Sus scrofa: one gene and its partner. The protein of the gene in region 2 interacts with the protein of the main gene of each other region in a pairwise test. Links are inferred from orthologs where the notes say so. Each region holds a gene or a part of one and is shown on either strand. Other genes may lie near its edges.

Region 1 (9,626 bases), on a different chromosome or scaffold from region 2:
CTAAGCATAAAAAGGTCATAATTTGAGACTGGATTGATGTTACAAAGAAAATCCAACCATGCGAAGTGGTGGCGGTGGGGAGGTGTGCCCGGACGTGCTGAGCTGGGAAGGGCGGGGAAGATCTCTGTGAGAGGAGAGGATTGGTGAAACTAGCCAGGAAGTGTCTCTGGGCAGCTAACAGCAAGTGCAAAAGCCCTGCAGGGAGCTGAGTGGGGAGGGGAGAATGAGATTAAAGTGGGTAAGTCAGGAGCAAGATTGTCAGGCTTTGCCTGCCTCGGTGAAGTCGGGGTTTTATTTTGAGTGTGAGAAGTCACCAGTTTCAAGTTGGAGGAAGACATGATCCAGTGGGCATCCACATTGAGACGGGGACCTCACGCGCCTTCTTGAGATGCCCTTGACCAGCTGCTCTCTCTCCAGGCTGGAGACTGCCCCTCTCCAGACCGCCCCACCTGTTCGTGGTAAGTGACTTGTTTTTAGACTTAGATGCGATGCTCAGGAGGAGGACCTGCCTTTAAGCCAGAAAGCAAGGGCAAAAATCCCCTTCCTCTCCCTGCTTGTGGACTACACTCAGGTTCCTCCTCGCACGCCTTCCAGAAAAGTCCCTAATGCTGTGTACATACCTGCTGCCTTGTCTTTGAAGGTCTTTGTGGCCGCCTAGCCAGTGCAACAGTCTGTCACAGGGTGTTTTCCCTGGCCTCGCTCCCTCCCTCTCAGCAGCCTGGCTCACATCTCCTAAATAAATCATCAGAACCACTCTAGCCTAGGTTCTGCTTCCTAGCCAACAGTTTTCTAGAAAGATCTGCTTTTAGTAACATGGGGTCTCTGGGCATTTCTCTCTCCTCTGGGCCTCAGCAGCACATTTTCTACAATGAAAGTGTTGACTTTTAAGTGTCAGAGAGCCCTAGCCTTTGACATGTAACCCATGGGCCCGTTTTGCCCTCCTGTGTCCACCAATGTGGCTGAGGTGTCTAAATCTATCACGAAGCAACAAATACAATAGTTAAGAAGTCTCTGGAGGGAGACTGAACTTGAGTTCTAGTTCCTTGCTCCTTCCTAGCTATGCGACCCTGAGCAAGTGACCTGGCCTCTCACCTCAGGCTCCTCCCATGGAAAACATGGCAACAGGATCTTTTTTTTTTTTTTTTTTTTTTTTTTTGTCTTTTTGCCTTTTCTTGAGCCACTCCCCAGTGGCATATGGAGGTTCCCAGGCTAGGGGTCGAATTGGAGCAGTAGCCACCCGCCTACACCAGAGCCACAGCAACACCAGATCCAAGCCGCGTGTGCGACCTACGCCACAGCTCACGGCAACTCCAGATCCTTAACCCACTGAGCCAGGCCAGGGATCAAACCTGCAACCTCATGGTTCCTAGTCAGATTTGTTAACCACTGAGCCACAACGGGAACTCCAGGATCTATTTCGTATCCCTGCTCCAACTCTGACAGGGCAGAGATGCAGGAGTCTAGGGAACTTACCAGGTCCCTCCCACTGACCCACTAAAGTTTAGAAACTTTAGGCAACACCACCCCTTCCAAAATACTTTTATTAAAAAAAAAAAAATTACAATCAGAAAACAAAACAAAAAAACCCACCACAAAACCTGCCTTTCTATTAAATAATGCGGCATGGAGCAGTTTGGTTTCCACCCTATTGCACGTGGTCCGGCCTGGTCATGAATCAGGAGGCTGCTGGGACTGGGGTCCTATGAAGGAGGTGGGGTTCAGCCTGGGGAGGAGGCCAGCCCCTCCCATTCCCTAGAGGTGCAAGAGGCAGAAGCTGGGTTTCCATAGCAACCAGGCAGCACCTCCCTGTCATCCTTTGACAGGCCCAGCTTATCTTCCCTGAGGCCCCAGGGGACACGAGGGGAGTAGGAACTGGAGGGAAAGGCAGAAGAAATGTGGACGTGGGAAATCAGACTCCCAGAAACAGAGTCTCATTAAGGCATTTGCAACAGATAAATTAATTCAGGAAGACCCACCTTCACAGAAGGCTGCGATAACCAGACACACACACACATGCAAGACAGTTTGTGGAACCCTGAAATGGGAGCAAAGGAGGCCACAGTTACTGCTTAAAGCCTCCATATAAACACACACACACAGAGTTGCATCCAGGGATTTCAGCCCACCAAGGCTGAGATGGGGAAGGAGCGCCCCCTCCCCATCAAAGTTTTAGGATCCCAGAATGATTTCCATGATGTGATCTAGTTCATTCCACTCCCAGGAACCTGGGGCACAGAAGAGGTTGTGAGGAGGCTCGGGTGGGGTCAGTGCAGGCTCCTTCTCCACTGCCGATGTGTCAATGTCCAGGAAGAAGTCATCCAGGCCGGAGTCCCCTAGGTACCGGGAGCTCAGAGCTTCTAAGAAGACCGGATCGGGCTGGGGCAATACTTCATTCTGGGGACCTGGGGGAGCCACTGGATTGGGAGGGGGCTCAGTCTCATCCATGGAGGTCTCCAGCTCCCTGAGAATAGAGCCGATGGTGGTCGACAGGGAGAAGTCCTCCTCGCCCAGGAAGAGGGGCTCGGGGGGCAGGGCAGGTGCAGGCGTCAGGCAAAGCGCTGCTTGGAGTTGTTGGAGGGTGTTGTGGATGAGGACATGCCTTCGAAGGCTGGGTGCTCGGGGGCCCAGGCTTCGCTGGACTTTGTCTAGGGAGATGCGGAGCAGGGCTTGCTGGTAGCTCCGAAGGCCTGTGGGACTCCAGTCCCACTTCTCATCCTCTTCTTCCTCCTCCAAATCTGAGTGTTTCCTCTTCAAGCCTACCATGATGCCCTGTGGTAAGAAGAGGGGCAAGTGAGACACAGCAGGGTTAGTTCAAATCCTGAATCTCCTGTATGGCTGTTGATTTTTAATGGCCCAAATAAATCTCACAAGGCTAAGGAAGAGAGTATATGTATGTGATTAACAAAACAAGATCTGGACGCAAGACACAGCTGGGTTTGAATCCCACTTACTGGCCCATGTGGCCTCCAGTAGTGAATTTACTTCCTTGAGACTCAATTTCCTCATCTACAAGGAATCTTAATTCAAGTTCTGGAGTCTTAAGGCTGTTCTTTCACAATACTCTTATTTTCAAACACGACACACACAAGACAGATACTGAGTACAGACACCTGGCCTGCAAGTAGAGATTCCTAGGGTTGACTTCTGCCTTTCACACTGCTCAGCTGTGAGATCTTGGGAAGTGATACTACACGCACAATGAACAAGAGTTCATTGCCAGTTATTTATTGAAAAAAAATTTCTTTTTAGGCCGGCACCCTGTGGCATATAGAAGTTCCCAGGCTATAGGTCAAAATCGGAGCTTCAGCTGCTGGCCTACACCACAGCCACGCCAGATCCTAGCCACATCTGTGACCTACACCGCAGCTCACGGAAACGCCTGATCGTTAACCCACTGAGCAAAGCCAGGGATTGAACACCAGTCTCATGGATACTAGCTGGGTTCCTTACCGTCCAGTCACAACGGGAATTCCTCATTCAATATTTTTATTTGAGGAGTTCCCGACGAATCCGACTAGGAATCATGAGATTGCAGGTTCGATCCCTGGCCTTGCTCATTGGGTTAGGGATCCAGCATTGCCTTGAGCTGTGGTGTAGGTCGCAGACAAGGCTTGGATCTGGCGTGGCTGTGGCGAAGGCCGGCGGCTATAGCTCGGATTAGACCTCTAGCCTGGGAACCTCCACATGCCGCGGGTGCGGTCCTAGAAAAGACAAAAATATATATATTTCTTTAATTTGAAAACAAAATGAAACAAAAAATAAAATACAGGTCCACAATCACTTAAAAAATTTTTTTTTTGAATGTCTACTATATTCTAGCCACCTGGAACCCTGATAGGGAACCTATCTGTGGAGACTCTTCTTTTACAGAGAACAAATATTTTTCCTGACTGGGAGCTCTCGCAACAACAGTGAAAATACCTCCCTCACTCCCTCTGTGGTTGCCTTCAGGTTTCTCCAGCATGAGTCCGGTAGGAAAACTCGCCAGAACATTACTCACGCCAAGCCCCGCCCCCGACCAGCCCATCCAACCAGGCCCCCGCTCTCTACAGGCCCCGCCCCCTCGACGAAGTTCGAGTTCGGAACCCAGACACGCCCCAACTTGGTCCTTGGGGCTTATGGGAAATGTGGGCCAATAGCCTCCAGGTACACGTACTGACGTTGAACGCGCACTACAACCCCCGGAGGGCTCAGCAAGCCGCAGGGACGCACCTTCCCCGCCTTCCCTTAGGGCATGCGCAAAGCGGCCCGTGGTGGGTGGGGGAAGGGAACCCGGACGTCCAGCTGCCCGGCGCCCGCCGAGCCCCGCCCTCCGCTGCCTTCAGGGCTGCGGGTCTGAGCTCCACGCCCGAAACACCCCTCCCCCACCCGACTCCGATTCTAAACTGCTTTCTACCGGTCCTGCGGACCGTAGAAAGTCCCAAATTCTTCCATCAAACTACTCTCGGGTCCAGAGACCCAGGCCCCAACACATCGCTCAAAGACTTACAAATGCTCTCCGATGCGCTCTGTTCGGGCCGCTAGGTATCTGAATTTTGAGACCCTCCCCGTCAACTTTCCCCTATTCTCCGGTCTTTCAAATGCTTCTCAACCTCATCTCCGACTCCCCCTCCGGCTCCAAGACCTGACTGGGAACTCTCCTCTCCCCAGGACCCCTCTCCACCACTGCGTCTAGGAGATCGAGTCCTTGCCCCTATTTCTTTCGCTTCTCCAAATGCTCGGGATCACAGCGCAACGCCTCAAACTTTTTCCTGAACAGTAGTGCCCGACTTTAACTCGTCCCGGAGACCTGAATTATCCCAATCTTCAGATTTCCTGCCCCCAAAAGTTCCTTCCCTAGTTCTCTCGCTTCCCAAACACCCCGTGTCCCAGCTTCAGACTCCCTCCACTTGAAGACCCTGTCCCCAAAACTTCGCCTTCCTTTCAGGATCTCGAAACTCAGTCTCTCCAAACCTGCGCCCCCTACTCCCACCCATACCCCGCCTCCACAACTCTCCGGAGCGCCTCCACTTCCCTCAACCCAAGGCGGATCCCAAGCCAGGCAGCCACACCTCACCTCAACTGCCAGGTTCGCAACAACTACCTCCGGGAACGCCCGCGGCTTTGCGACCCTCCTTTGCGAGTGCTGGGTAGGGGCCGCGCTCACCACCCCGGGGCCTCTCGGTCTGGCCTCAGGCCCACCCAGCTCCGCCCGGAGCCGAGCCGCGAACCATGATTGGCTGGAGTCCTGCCCACCGCAGGGCGCGGATTGGCTAGGCGGAGCTACCGCCTGTCGCCTGGAGACGCCGGACCCGCCTTCCCCTCCTTCGCTCCGCGGACCTTTTAAAGGATTCTGACTTGCCGGGAGGCAGGGCCACCTCTCTAGGGTGGATGTTGCACCAAAACTGTTTCTTTCAACTCGGCTACTGTCCTCGCTCCAAGACCGTCTTCATTGCTCTCTGCGACCCCTTTATACCAAGCCTGGACCCAGTCGCGGAGGAAGATTGACAGGCACGCCCGGCCCCACCCCGCTTACCGGGAGGACCCCGCTGCGCCTCTCACGAAGGCCGCGCCCCTAGCTTTGGAGGGCGGACCCTGCGGAGGAGGAGGATGACGCACCGAAGGCCAGCCAATAGTTTGGTGCGGCCTGTGTTGCCTGGGAGATCTTAGCCCTTCCTCCCTCAGGATGGCACCCCTGCTGCGGGAAACTCGCTCTTGGCTCCCCACTGTCGTGGGGACAAAGTCCAAACTACTTTTTTTTTTTTTTTTTTTTTTTGCCTTAAAGCCCTTCAGGTCTGGCTTGATGCACTCTCCCTTGCTCTCTACAATCCTGCCGCACCGACTGACTCACTCTTTCTAAAATGGCTCCACCGCCGTGAACAGAGATTCGGTTTTCTTCCCTGCCTTATCTTCAGTGCCTACAACAATGCCAGGTTCGTATCAAGTTCTCGAAAATGAGGGGGGAAAAAAAAAGACCTCTGGCACAACATTGTAAGTCAAAATCAAGGATACTTTTAAAAAGACCTCTGGATCTTGAAACTTTTTCCCATCCTGAAAATACGCCCTCAATTCCCAGGCTGCCTCTTGAGTCAGAACTCTTCTCAAAGTTTTCCTCTCAGTTCTGAGGCTCCAGGGATGGTCCAGACCCATTCTGGCCTCCCACAGGGTCCTGTGCTTCCCTCATCGCGACCCTGACTCCTTTGCCTGAGTCTCCCCGACCTTGGCCCTGGCCGTCACTGGATTGTGGGCCTCCTGGGGACACGTACCAATGTTATCTCACTGCTTGGTCCCCAGCATCACCTAGCACAGGGCCGGACACAAGGCAGGCGCCCAGTGAAAGAAAGTTTGTTAAATGCAGACACTGTAACAGAAGAAATAAAGCGGGAGGAAATGAGTGCGGCCGGTGCCCAGAAAGCCTGAACCAGCCCTGCCCCACCCCCACAACACGTTCCCGCCCACGGGAGGAGAGAGTTTTCTCCAGGCCGCTCCGGAGAAGGAAGGTTTAAGGCTCTTTGGACCAGTCCTCGCCGGTTGGAATTTGTCAGTCATGTAGTCCAGCTGTGTGGAGAAGAGTATAGGATGGGAATGGATTTGGGGTTGGGGGAGAGCTTTGGGGGTTAGGTAAGCGAGGAGTGGTTTGCTCAGTCCTGGGAAAGGTGTCTCTGGGGGACAAAGGTGGGGGAGAGTAGATTCCAAGAAGGGACATGATTAGGAAGAGGCAGTTCTTCCCCTCCCCGTGCCGAATCAGCCCCTTCAGGCTTCCTGTCTCAGGGTGGCCCTACTGCAACCCCACTTTCAGGATTCAGTCCTAGGTTTCCTTCTGGTGCCTCCCTCCCCTCCCAACTGTCCACTCAGGCTCCCGCCCACTCTCCCTCTCTTCCTCAAGGTCCCAGGACACCCTCTGGGTTCCCAGTCTCTACTTCTGCACCCTCCCATCCACCCGCACACAGTAGCCCAGGGAAGCTTCATAAAACACAAACCCGGAGTTCCTGTCGTGCGGCTCACCAGTAATGAACCCAACTAGTATCCATGAGGATGTAGGTTCAATCCCTGGCCTCTTGCTCAGTGGGTGAAGGATCTGGCTTTGCTGTGGCTGTGGTGTAGGATGGCAGCTGCAGCTTGGGCTCAGCCCGTAGCCTGGGACCTTCCATATGCCGTGGGTGCGGCCCTAAACAAGCAAACAAACCTGAGTGTGATCCCCCCTCCCCACCTCTCCCTTGCTCCACTCTTTGCATAAAAACTTAGACTAAAGCTCAAACTTTTACAAGGACCCTGGCCGGTTTAGCACCATAGAACAGCCTCTTGGGGTTGATCGCTCCTCCCCTCTGACCAAAGTATTAACTGTAGGGGATGGGCTTTAGTTCTTCAAAGGGGCCATGTGCTCATGTGGCCTCTTCTGCCTGGAACGCCATCACGCCTTAGAACCTTCCCTTGGCTCATTCTCACTAAACCAGGTTTCAGGTGGGACAGCTCATCTTCCACAGAACCTTCCTCAAGCTGGGTCCCTCGGCTCTCTCTGCTTCCTCCATCAGAGCCCTGGCCACTCACTCTGTGTTGTCACTGTCAGGGGCAGGGCTGTCTTCCACGTTGGACAGTGAGATCCATGAAGACAGGGTCCCCACTGTCTTCACTGGTTCCCCAGCACAGGGCCAGGTGAGGAAACAAATGGATGAATGCCCAGAAAATCTTTTTTCTCTTTTTTTTGGTCTTTTTAGGGCCAAACACACAACACATGGAGGCTCCTAAGCTAAGGAGCTGTAGCTACTGGCCTACGCCACAGCCAGCAATGCCAGATCCAAACCATATCCAAGACCTGCACTGCAGCTTGCAGCAACGCTGGATCCTTAACCCACTGAGCAAGGCCAGGGACCAAACCTGCATCCTCATGGATACTCGTCGGGTTCTTAACCCGCTGAGCCATAATGGGAACTCCTGCCTAGAAAACCTTACACAGAGGCAGACAGGACAGTGAAGACACCCTGACAGAGCCAGGGAGAGGAAGAGACATAGAATTGGGTCCTCCTGAATAAACTGAAGCTCTTAGCTTGAGATTTATTGTTCCCATCCTTTGCTGTAGCCACAGGATGCTGTCTTCCTGGACGGGGTCAGAGCCCTATTCGTACTCGTGGGAGGGGTAGGTGTTGTGGCCGTTGTACTCATCAGTGGTGAGGCAGTGCAGCATGAAGTGGCCCAGGTCATGTTTGGAGATGACCCTAGAGGGCCCTCGTCCATCCAGGGTCACCGTGTAGGCCCCGGTCAGCGGCTGATCTCCTGTAAGGTAAAGATTGAGGGGCCAGGTAAACAGATGTCCTCCCCCGTCACCCTGCGCAGGGTCACACCAGTGACCGTCTACGGTGTGCCCAGTCCAGACGGTAGAAGATGGTGAACGAGCCAAAAGCCATGAAACCCTTCCCACGTGCAGGGTGCTAATCTGTACCCTTTACTACATTCATTCAACACATACTTTTTTTTTTTATTTTTTTTATTTTTAAGGCCATACCCACGGCATATGGAGGTTCCCAGGCTAGGGGTTGAATCGGAGCTGTAGCTGCCGGCCTACACTACAGCCACAGCAATGTCTGCAACCTATACCAGACCCTTAACCCACTGAGCGAGGCCAGGGATTGAACCCACGTCCTCATGGATACTAGTCAGGTTCATTAACCACTGAGCCACAACGGGAACTCCTTTTCAACAAATCCTATTGATGACCTATTATGTACCAGGTGCTGGGCATGCAGCAAGGGACAAAATAGACAAGGCAACTAGTAAAAAGTAGAATATGTTAGATGGTGAGAAATATGTTAGATGGAGAGAAATGAAGCAGAGAATGGGCTAGGACCTATTAATTCTATCTTACAAGTGGGCAAACAGTCTCAGAGAGAGGAAGTCACATCCCAGGGTTGCAAAGGGTCATTTACTTCCCAGTGGCTCTGGGATCCCCTGCCCTTCCAGAGGCATGACCTGGCAGCTACAGGGGCATCTGATAAGTGGGTTAAGGATCCAGCATTGTCACTGCAGCAGCTCAGGTTGCTGCTGTGGCTCAGGTTCAGTCCCTGGCCTGAGAACTTCTACATACTGCAGGTGCAGCCAAAAGGACAAAATAATAATATGTGAGAGTGACCTGCAGTGTCCCAGCACAGGGACAACCTGGAATCACATGCAATAAGAAATACACACCCTTACTCATATGGCATCCCTGCCAAAAATGTTTAAACTTAGTCTGTGAGAAAACAATCACAAAAATCCAGAAAGTGGGATTTTTTTTTTTTAGTCAAGCCAGAGGCATGCAAAGTTCTGGGGACAGGAACGAACCCAGGCCATAGCAGTGACCATGCCGATCCTCAACCCACGAGGCCACCAGGAACTCCCAGAATGTGGGATACTTTAAGAGACACCTGGCCAGAGTTCCCATCATGGCGCAGTGGTTAACGAATATGACTAGGAACCATGAGGTTGCGGGTTCGATCCTTGGCCTCACTCAGTGAGTTGACGATCCGGCGTTGCCGTGAGCTGTGGTGTAGGTCGCAGATGTGGTTTGGATCCTGCATTGCTGTGGCTCTGGCGTAGGCCAGTGGCTACAGCTCCAATTAGACTCCTAGCCTGGGAACCTCCATATGCCGCAGGAGTGGCCCTAGAAAAGTCAA
Region 2 (9,803 bases):
AAGTTTCCATGCCAGAGATCCAACCAGTGCCACAGCACTGATAACACCAGATCCTTAACCCACTGCACCACCAGGGAACTCCAGAAGGTGGCTGGATTCACCCAGATTGTCACCAAGAGCCCAGCATCATGGCTTTAGGGCTTTTCCAACCTCACAAGCTATTGGATCCATGACCAGGAACTGAGTCCCATGGCCTAAACCCTAAGCATCTTAAGATCATGGTTTTCAGCTTCCCACACTCACCTGAGTGTCCCAGGTCTCCCTGTCAGCCCCAGAGCTGCTGGAACCACTTCTAGAGCCACCTGCTTGGTCACCAGAGGGCGATGAGAAGGGCTCCAGCCTCAGCAGGGAATCCTGCAGCTCCTGGACCTGTATGGGAAAGGGGGGTGTCAGGCCTGGGGGCTCTAGCATTCTTACCTAAGATCTGTTCCTAGGGCAGTGGCAAGAGCCCTGGCTGGAAGGCAGGACCCCAGATACTCATCCTACCAAATCCCTCACTATACAACCTTGGGCAACTCACTCAGCCACTTAAGACTTCCCTTTTTTTAGATATACAGATAGCCAACAGGTATGTGAAAAGATGCTTAATATCGCTAAGTCTCAGGGAAATGCAAATCAAAACCACCATGTGGGGAGTTCCTGTCATGGTTCAAGGGTAACGAACCCAACTAATATCCATGAGGATGTGGGTTTGACTCCTGGCCTCACTCAGGGGATTAAGGATACAGCATTGCCGTGAGCTGTGGTGTAGGTCACATACACGGCTTGGATCCCGTGTTGCTGTGGCTGTGGTGTAGGCCTGCAGCTGCAGCTCCAATTCGAGCTTCCATATGCTGTGGGTACAGCCCTAAAAAGACAAACAAACAAATGAACAAACAAAAAAACACAATGAGGAGTTTCTACTGTGTCACAACTATGGCGACCTCTTGGGAGCACTGGGACACAGGTTCAATTACCAGCCTGGCACAGTGGGTTAAGGATCTGGCATTGCTGAAGCTGTAGCTTAGGTCACAACTGCAGCTTGGATCTGATTTCTGGCCTGGGAACTCCATATGCCATAGAGCACCCAAAAAAGAAAAGAAAGGGAGTTCCTGTTGTAGCTCAGCAGAAGTAAGTCTGACTAGTATCCATGAGGATGCAGGTTTGATCCCTGGCTTTGCTCGGTTAGTTAAGGATCCAGTGTGTCCATGAACTATGGTGTAGTTTGCAGATGTGGCTTGGATCTGGTTTGGCTATGGCTGTGGCGTAGGCCAGTGGCTACACCTTCAATTTGACTCCAGCCTGGGAACCTCCATATGCCTCAGGTGCAGCCCTAAAAAGGCAAAAAAAAAAAAAAAAAAAAAAAAGATAAACACTGTATGATCTCACTTATATGTGGAGTCTAAAGAAGGAGTTTCTGCTATGGTGCAAAGGGATTGATGGCATCTCCTGCAGCATGAGGACATACATTTGATCCCCAGCTCATGTGGGTTAAAGGATTTGTCATCGCTGCAAGTGTGTCATAGGTCTCAACTGCATCTCAGATTTGATCCCTGGCCCAGGAGCTCCATATGCCGCAGGCCAGCCAAAAAATAAAAGGAATAAAATAAAATAAAATAAATGAAATGAAATAATAAAATAAAATAAAGCAAAATTGGAGTTCCCTGATGGCTCAGTGAGTTAAGGATTTGGCATTGCCACTGCATGGCTCTGGTTATTACTGTGGCAAGGGTTTGATCCCTGGCCTGGGAAAGGAACTTCTGCATGCTGCAGGTGTGGCCAATAATAATAGTAATAATAATAAATTAAAATTTTTAAAAAATTAAAAAATTGGAGTTCCTGTCATGGCTCAGTGATTAATGAATCTGACGAGGAACCATGAGGTTTCAGGTTCAATCCCTGGCCTCTCTCATTGGGTTAAGTTGTCGTGAGCTGTGATGTAGGTCACAGACGGGGTTCAAATCCCAAGTTGTTGTGTAGGCCGGTAGCTACAGCTCTGATTAGACCCCTAGCCTGGGAACCTCCATATGCCACGGGTGCAGCCCTAGAAAAAAAAGTTTAAGAATTGAACATGCAGATACAGAGAACAGATTGATATTTGCCAGAGGCAGGGGGTAGGGGGTAGGCAAACATTTTTTAAAATATATTTTTCTTTTCCATCTTGGAAATGGGCCCCACTCTGTAGGGAAATGGGCCCCACTCCTTGCACTGGCACCTGCAACCCCTAGTGTCACCACCTGGGTCCTTCTCACTCTGACATCTGCTGAGTTCTGAACTCAGATGTAGGACTGTTCCTTTTTTTTTTTTTTTTTTTTTTTTTGTCTTTTTGCCATTTCTTGGGCCGCTCCCACAGCATATGGAGGTTCCCAGGCTAAGGACCAAATCGAAGCTGTAGCCACCAGCCTACGCCACAGCAACGCCAGATCCAAGCCGCGTCCTTAACCCACTGAGAGAGGCCAGGGATCGAACCCGCAACCTCATGGTTCCTAGTCGGATTTGTTAACCACTGAGCCACGATGGGAACTCCTAGAGCTGTTCTTTTAATGGCCCCATGTGGGTGGCTCATGGCATCTGGAGCTAATCAGAGACCACAACTCGGGTTTCCCTCCCACCAAAACTGCCCCTCTGGTAGACTCCCCATGCCTCCACTGCAGTCTCCCAAACCCCCAACCCAGAACTCGTTCTCAAGCCCTCTCTAGCTTTCACACCCACGCTTGCCAACTCCACCTTCAACATTATCTAGAACCTGCCCTCTTCTAGGCACCTGCACAACTTCCATTGATACACCTCTGGACCAGTGTCTCTTCCCTTATCTCCAAGATTCCACCCTCTCCCTCCACCAGCGGTTCCTCCCACAGCCGCCAGAGGGCGCCTGCGTGAGGTCTCAACCCTCCCTCCTTCATAATCCTCTGTGCTTCTCACCTACTGCAGAGCAAAAAAAAAGCTCAAATCCTCCCTGTGACCCACAGGCCCTGAAGAATCTGCCCCCATCACCTTCATACCCTGTATCCTCCCACTCAGCCCCACACCGATCTCCTCACTGTTCCTTGAACACATCAACCACACTTCAACTTCAGGGCCTTTACATATGCTGTTCCCTTTGCCTGGAATGCTCTTCCCAACACTAGCATGGCTCCTACCTTGCCTCCTTGTGTGTGTGTGTGTGTGTGTGTGTGGTGTGTGTGTGTGTGTGTGTGTGTGTTTCTAGAGGTCAAATCGGAGCTACAGTGCCAGCCTACTTCACAGCCACAGCCACTGCAAGATCTGAGTCTCGTCTGCAACCTACACCACAGCTCACAGCAACCCCGGATCCCCAACCCACTGAACCAGCATCCTCATGGATACTAGTTGGATTCATTTCCACTGCACCACAACAGGAACTCCCCTCCTTGTGGTCTTTATTCAAGTGTCACCTCCTCAGTGGGCCTCCCTGATCACTTTACCTAAGATTGCAAGCAACCTTTGTCTGTTTGTGGTTCAGCAGCCAAGCCTCCATAAAAGCCTTACAAATACACAAATGATTGAACTTGATCATGTCCTGTGCCAAACCGCCTCCTCCCTCACACAGGGAACCCTGGGAGGCAGGCTGCCCCACTCACCTCTCTCTGCAGCCTCTCCTTCTCAGCCTGGAAGGCCTTCAGGGAGGACTGGGTGCGGATCAGCTCGTCCTCGCGGCTGCCCAGGGCCAAACGCAGCCAGGTGTTCCTTTCAGCCAATCGGGCTGCCTCCCGCTGGCAGCTCCCAGCCCCCTCCTGCTCCAAGCCTGGCATCGGTCCCCCCTCGCTTCTGTCCTTTGCCTCCATTGGCCCAGCACAGCTTGGGGGCCTGTGGCGCCAGGCAGCAGCAGCCGCTTCCAGAGAGCTCAGAGCATGCTGTAGAGTCTGAAACACATCGGGGGCTCCAGGTTCAGAAGGGCTGGTCTCCCTTTCCCGTGGGGCTGCCTCTGGGGCATGACGGGCTTCCTCTGCAGGCTCATGGGGCCTCTCTGGAGCTAGAGCTGGCCCCCCGTGAGAGTCCCCATCAACTTCTTTGTCAGGCCTGTGAAGAGGTGAGAGATGGAAAGTTCTAGAAATGGGGTCATCTGGGGTGGCTAACACACAGAGGCTTTGTAACAAGGCTGTGACTGCATTGCACAGGGCCTTGAAAGTCAGGCTGAGGGCAGTGGGAGCCATGACATGCATGTGAGTAGGGGAGGGACATAAACAGATCTATGGGTGGGAAAGATGTGCCCAGCCTGGAGTAGGGGTCACAGGACAAACAGGCCTTACCTGCTCTCCAGGCTCTTTGCTTTGGCCTCCACCTCATGGCCCAGCAGCTCCGGCTTACAGCTATCCTGAGATGGCACAGGGCCCAGGTGAGAGCTCCCACTGGCTGCCTCGGCCTCCTCTGAACTCTCTGCCACAGGGTCCAGCTCACCCTGCAAATGATCCCTAGGACTGAGCCAGGCAGGTCTGGGTCCTGAGGTCCCACAGAGATGGGTGTGGCAGGGACAGGGGACACTTACGGGCAAAGCATGCCTCCCTCGCCGGCTTCGGGGCCGCGTGGCCCTGGCACTCATTGTTATCCAGAAATCAGTGTCTTCTGAGTCTTCCTCACCCCCTAAAATCACAACCTGATCCCAACTCAAAGTGAATGCCAGCCTCAATTTCTTCTGTGTAATGGACATCGATTTCACTTCTCTGGAAGGATCTTGAGTTATCAATGATGGTTTGGCACTTTTAAATGCCTCCCTTGACGGGAAGCTCACTACCTCTCAAGGTTGCCCTGACCTCCCCATTCTCCTCTGCCTCTCTTATTCTTCACTGCGTCTTTGTTCCCCTCCCTCCCCTATCTGGGCTTATGGCAAGGACTTCAATGGTCCCCTCTCCCTGCCAGGGCTCTCCTGAACCGGAAGTTCCAATCCTGGGGTTTGGTCCCCTCAGCCTGCTCTACTTCTCTATTACTCTGGGGGCACTTTGGTCAGAGGACCAAGTCCTTGGACACTCTTGGGGTAACTCTGGCTACTGCCTGCTCAGACTTGGGCTGGCCAAGGCCAGCCTGGGAGGGGCCGGAAAACAGGAAACCCCCTCCCAGGGCCATGTGACTTGTTATTGTGCAGTTTCCTCCTGAAGGACAGAGGCTTCCTCGAGCCCCAGCAGGAGGACACATGTCTAGCTCCCAGGATGTCAGTCCCTCCTTGTCTCACCAAGCCCATGGCTCCTCCATCTCTGACTCTTGGATTTAATTTCCCAGAAGCCAGGATGTTCCCCTGAGCTGATGCTCTTCATCTTGCTCCCCTGCAAACTTCTTTTCTCTGCCTGTCAGGGTCAGAATTCTTTTTTTTTTTTTTTTTTTTTTTTTTTTTCTGTAATTTCTTGGGCCGCTCCCTCGGCATAGGGAGGTTCCCAGGCTAGTGGTCAAATCGGAGCTGCAGCCACCAGCCTATGTCAGAGCCACAGCAACGAGGGATCTGAGCCTCGTCTGCAACCTACACCACAGCCCACGGCAATGCCGGATCCTTAACCCACCAAGCAAGGTCAGGGATCAAACCCACAACCTCATGGTTCCTAGTTGGATTTGTTAACCCTTGAGCCATGACGGGAACTCCAGGGTCAAAATTTTTGTTCCACTTCAGTCACAGACCTGGGATTGGTAACCTTGAGCAAGTAATGATCCCCTCTGAGTCTCAATTTCCTTATCTTCCTACAGTGTCATAGGAGTTTTTGGTTTTTGTTTTTTTTCCCAATATCAACAACTTTTTCTTGGAGTTTAATTGATTTAAAATGTTATATTAGTTTCAAGTGTACAGCAAAGTGATTGTTATATATGTGTATATATACTATATATTCTTTTAAAGTTATTTTGAGGTTCTTTCCATTATACATTATTATAAGATATTGAATACAGTTCCCTATGCTATACAGTAGGTCCTTCTTGTTTATTTTATATACAGTAGTGTGTCTGTTAATTCCTCTCCCTACCTTTCCCCTTTGGTAACTGTAAGTTTGCTTTCTATGTCTGTGAGTCTATTTCTGTTTTGTAAATAAGTTCATTTGCATCTTTTTTTTTAGATTCCACATAAAATGATATCACATGATATTTGTCTTTTTCTGTCTGACTGACTTTTTTTTTTTTGGCTGTGCTTGTGGCATATAGAAGTTCCTGAGCCAGGGATTGAACTTGCATTATAGCAGCAACCCAAGCAGCTTGCAGTGACAATACCCAATCCTTAACCTGCTGTGCCACAAGAGACCACCTTGCTTTGTGTGTGTGTGTGTGTGTGTGTGTGTGTGTGTGTGTGTGTGTGTGTATTTCACTTAGTATGATCATCTCTGGGTCCATCCATGTTGCTGCAAATGACATTATTTCATTCTTTTATGGCTGAGTAGTATTCCATTGTGTGTGTGGGTGTGTGTATGTGTGTGTACTGGTATATATACATTTACCAGTGTTATGAGAGTTTTTTCCTTTTTCCCTTCTTTCTTTCTTTTTTTCTTTTTTGGCCGCCCTGCAGTATATGGAGTTCCTGAGCCAGGGATCATATCCGAGCCCCAGTTTCGACCTATACAGCAGCTGTGGCAACGCCAAATCCATTGTGCCAGCCATGGATCAAACCTGCCTCCTGGCACTGCAGAGATGTTGCTGATCCTGTTGCACTACAGAGAGAAGTCCTCACTTGAGTTTTGTTTGTTTGTTTGTTTGTTTGTCTTTTTGCCATTTCTTGGCCCGCTCCCACGGTATATGGAGGTTCCCAGGCTAGGAGTCCAATCGGAGCTGTAGCCACCGGCCTTTGCCAGAGCCACAGCAACTCAGGATGTGAGCCACTTCTGCGACCTACACCACAGCTCATGGCAATGCCAGATCCTTAACCCACTGAGCAAGGCCAGGGATCAAACCTGAAACCTCATGGTTCCTAGTCAGATTCGTTAAACACTGAGCCATGACGGGAACTGCCTCATGGGAGTTTTAACAAGCAATTTGCACATGGTCAGGCACCATCAGGGAAATGAATGGTTAGACATCCTCCTTGTTTCCTACTGACTCTTTATCCATCTCATCTCTGCTTCCTCTGCCAGCTGCTATTTCTCCTCTATAAATGTTGGATTCCTCAGAGCCCAGCTGGACCCTATATCCTGCTCATTTTTCCTGCATGTACCTCTAAAGGCCACCTCCTTGTCTCGTCTCCATCCACAATCACAGCCCAAGCCTCTCCTCCCCAATCTGGATGCCAGCCAGCTCCCTCCCTGGGCTTCCCGGCTACCCCTCCACTCCCTTCCCCACCCAGACTCCAGAGACAGAGATACCACTGTTCTCTTCCCCTGCTCATACACCCTCCACGGCTCCCCATTGCCCTTGGGAAACATTTCAAGCTCTTCAGCCTGGCATTCAAGGTCTTTAAAAACAATATGCTTTCTGCTAGCACCAGTATGTACTCCATGCTGCAGCCACAATGACCTCCTCTGTGAAGGAGGTCAATTCTCTCACACTCAATTCTCTCACACTCTGGAGACATTGGCCGTGCCATAACCGCTACCTGAATCACCCCTTCCTTCCTTCTGCCTTTGGTTTAAACTGTGCAGAGCCTAGGGCAGCATGAATGTTCTTGAATCTCCCACCGACAGACCCTAGGAGGCTGAGTCTTCCTGCTTCTGTGTCCCCAGAGACACAAGGAGAGAAGTTGAAATTCTCTGATATTAGGGGTGTGTACCCAGGGGCAATGAAATTCTCTCTCTAACCCTCTGCTCTGGCCATATTAACCTGTGAGAGGCTCCAGCCCTCCAAGGCTCCTCAAAGTCTCCAGACCTTTGCCCAGGCAGTTCTTTCTGCCGAGAATGACCTCCCTCTTCTTGTTTTTTTTTCCAACAAATTCTCCATTTTCAAAGCAGTGATAGCCCCTCTGGGCTACCACTGAACCAGAGCCTGGCTGATTTGGGTAGGCTTTTACAAATAAAGAAACTGAGGCTCAGCTTTAAAGTGGTTATGGTGGAGTTCCTGTGTGGCTCAGTGGTAACAAACCCCAGTGGTATTCAAGAGGGTGCGGGTTCGATTTCTGGACTAGCTCAGTGGTTAAGGATTTGGCATTGCGATGAGCTGTGGTGTAGGTTGCAGATGCGGCTCAGATGTCAAGTTGCTGTGGCTGTGGTTAGGCTGGCAGCTGCAGCTCGCATTAGACCCGCAGCCTGGGAACTTCCATATGCTGTAGGTGCTGCTCTAAAAAGCAAAATAAAATAAAATAGTTATGGGGCTGAAGAGTAAATTCCGCATGAAGAAGGAAGAGTAGTTTGAAATAGTTCTGGCTTAGTGTTGTTGGTTTTTTGTTTTTTGTTTTTGTTTTTGGTCTTTTTGCCATTTCTTGAGCCGTTCCCGCGGCATATGGAGGTTCCCAGGCTAGGGGTGGAATCGGAGCTGTAGCCTACGCCAGAGCCACAGCAACGCGGTATCCGAGCCGCGTCTGCAACCTACACCACAGCTCACGGCAACGCCGGATCGTTAACCCACTGACCAAGGGCAGGGATCGAACCTGCAACCTCATGGTTCCTAGTCAGATTCGTTAACCACTGTGCCACGAGGGGAACTCCTGGCTTAGTGTTTTTTAATTTCTGCAGATGTATGTAAAATAAGGAGAATTAAATAATTGGGCGGGGCCTTGGGATCTAGACCACGCCTACCTCCGCGGCAAAAAAAAAAAAATCCCTCACTGAGGTGCGGTCAACTTCATCAATCACCAACCAGCCCGCCCCTTCTGAACTCTGCCCAACTGTTCCACTCCATTTAATTACGCTGCCAGCTCGGACTCCTCCATTTTTCGAACCCAATCCCACTAAAAGTCCTACTCCCCTCTGCCTCGTTCCAGCCTATCAGGGTAGAAGCATTGACCAGCGCAGTGGGAATCAGTCAGAAACATGAAAAGTTCCTCCTCATCTCTCTTTAGCCAATCACTTTCCAGATCCCTCTCCACTCGGCTCCACTCCAGTTTATCGCAATCCAAACCCCACCGCCTAGCACAGTCCCAGCCTATCAGCATCCAAGACTCTCCGGCTTCATCCCATTCACATCTCCGCGCGGCTTGAGGCCTGATGAACTACATTTCCCAGGAGATGTGGCGGCCGCGCCATACCACTTCCGGCTGCTAAAGATGGCGGCTTCCTAGCGAGTCGACAGCCGGGTTGGAAGGAGGTTCAGGCTACGGTGAGAAGTTGGGTGGTGAATGCTTGTGGGATTCGTCTCCAGAGGCCTAACGTCCCTAGCCGCAAAAGTTTTAGCCCCTCGCCTGCCTTGAGGCTTCCGCCTTCCGTTCTGGTTTCTCCTGCAGTCTAGCCTTCATCCCTCTTGCTGCAGCTAAGCTTTGTTTTCCTTAGAGATTGTGGGGGCTGCAAGGCGCTCAGAGATCATCCCCAGCAGCCCGCACCCATTGCGCAGTTAGGCAGCCCGCTCCACTGGCCTCCTGTTTTTCCTCAGAGGAAATTGTAGCACACAGATCTGTTCCCCTCCCTAGGCAGCCAGCGCCCAGTAGGGAGAACCCTAGAAGTTATTATTCCTTTCTTCACCAGGACATTTTCAGTTTCAGGTAACAAAAAAACCAACTCAATCTGGCTTAAGCAAGAAAAAGAATTTAGTTATAGATGGATCTAGGTGCTCAGAAGTCTATTTGTTGTTTACTGGGTGAGCATCTCTTCAGGCTCTCTTTCCCATCTTAGAAGCTTCTACCAGCTCTCTACTTGTAACCTCCCATCTCTGCAACTCTGATGAGTTCCCCTTTTCTAACAGCACTTTTGCAAGTTTCAGAGCGACCCCTCACTGGCCTACATTGGGTCATATCCCCATCTCTGAGCCATTCACAGTGG

The links.
Region 1: the proteins of USHBP1 (region 2) and SERTAD3 interact in binary tests that used the Homo sapiens proteins (3 or more experiments, as listed by UniProt). The two-hybrid records come from large-scale screens. The link is inferred for Sus scrofa from reciprocal best matches to the Homo sapiens genes USHBP1 and SERTAD3.

What each region holds. Positions count from the first base shown.
Region 1 is NC_010448.4:48,707,541-48,717,166, forward strand, and holds SERTAD3 (SERTA domain-containing protein 3), read right to left. Parts: upstream 5,211-9,626; 5' UTR 5,057-5,210; intron 2,770-5,056; 5' UTR 2,764-2,769; coding exon 2,170-2,763; 3' UTR 1,524-2,169; downstream 1-1,523. Other genes in the region: BLVRB (flavin reductase (NADPH)), read right to left, coding at 8,093-8,250.
Region 2 is NC_010444.4:60,406,837-60,416,639, reverse strand, and holds the start of USHBP1 (Usher syndrome type-1C protein-binding protein 1), read right to left. Parts: upstream 5,012-9,803; 5' UTR 4,646-5,011; coding exon 4,484-4,645; intron 4,397-4,483; coding exon 4,248-4,396; intron 4,018-4,247; coding exon 3,579-4,017; intron 370-3,578; coding exon 244-369; intron 1-243.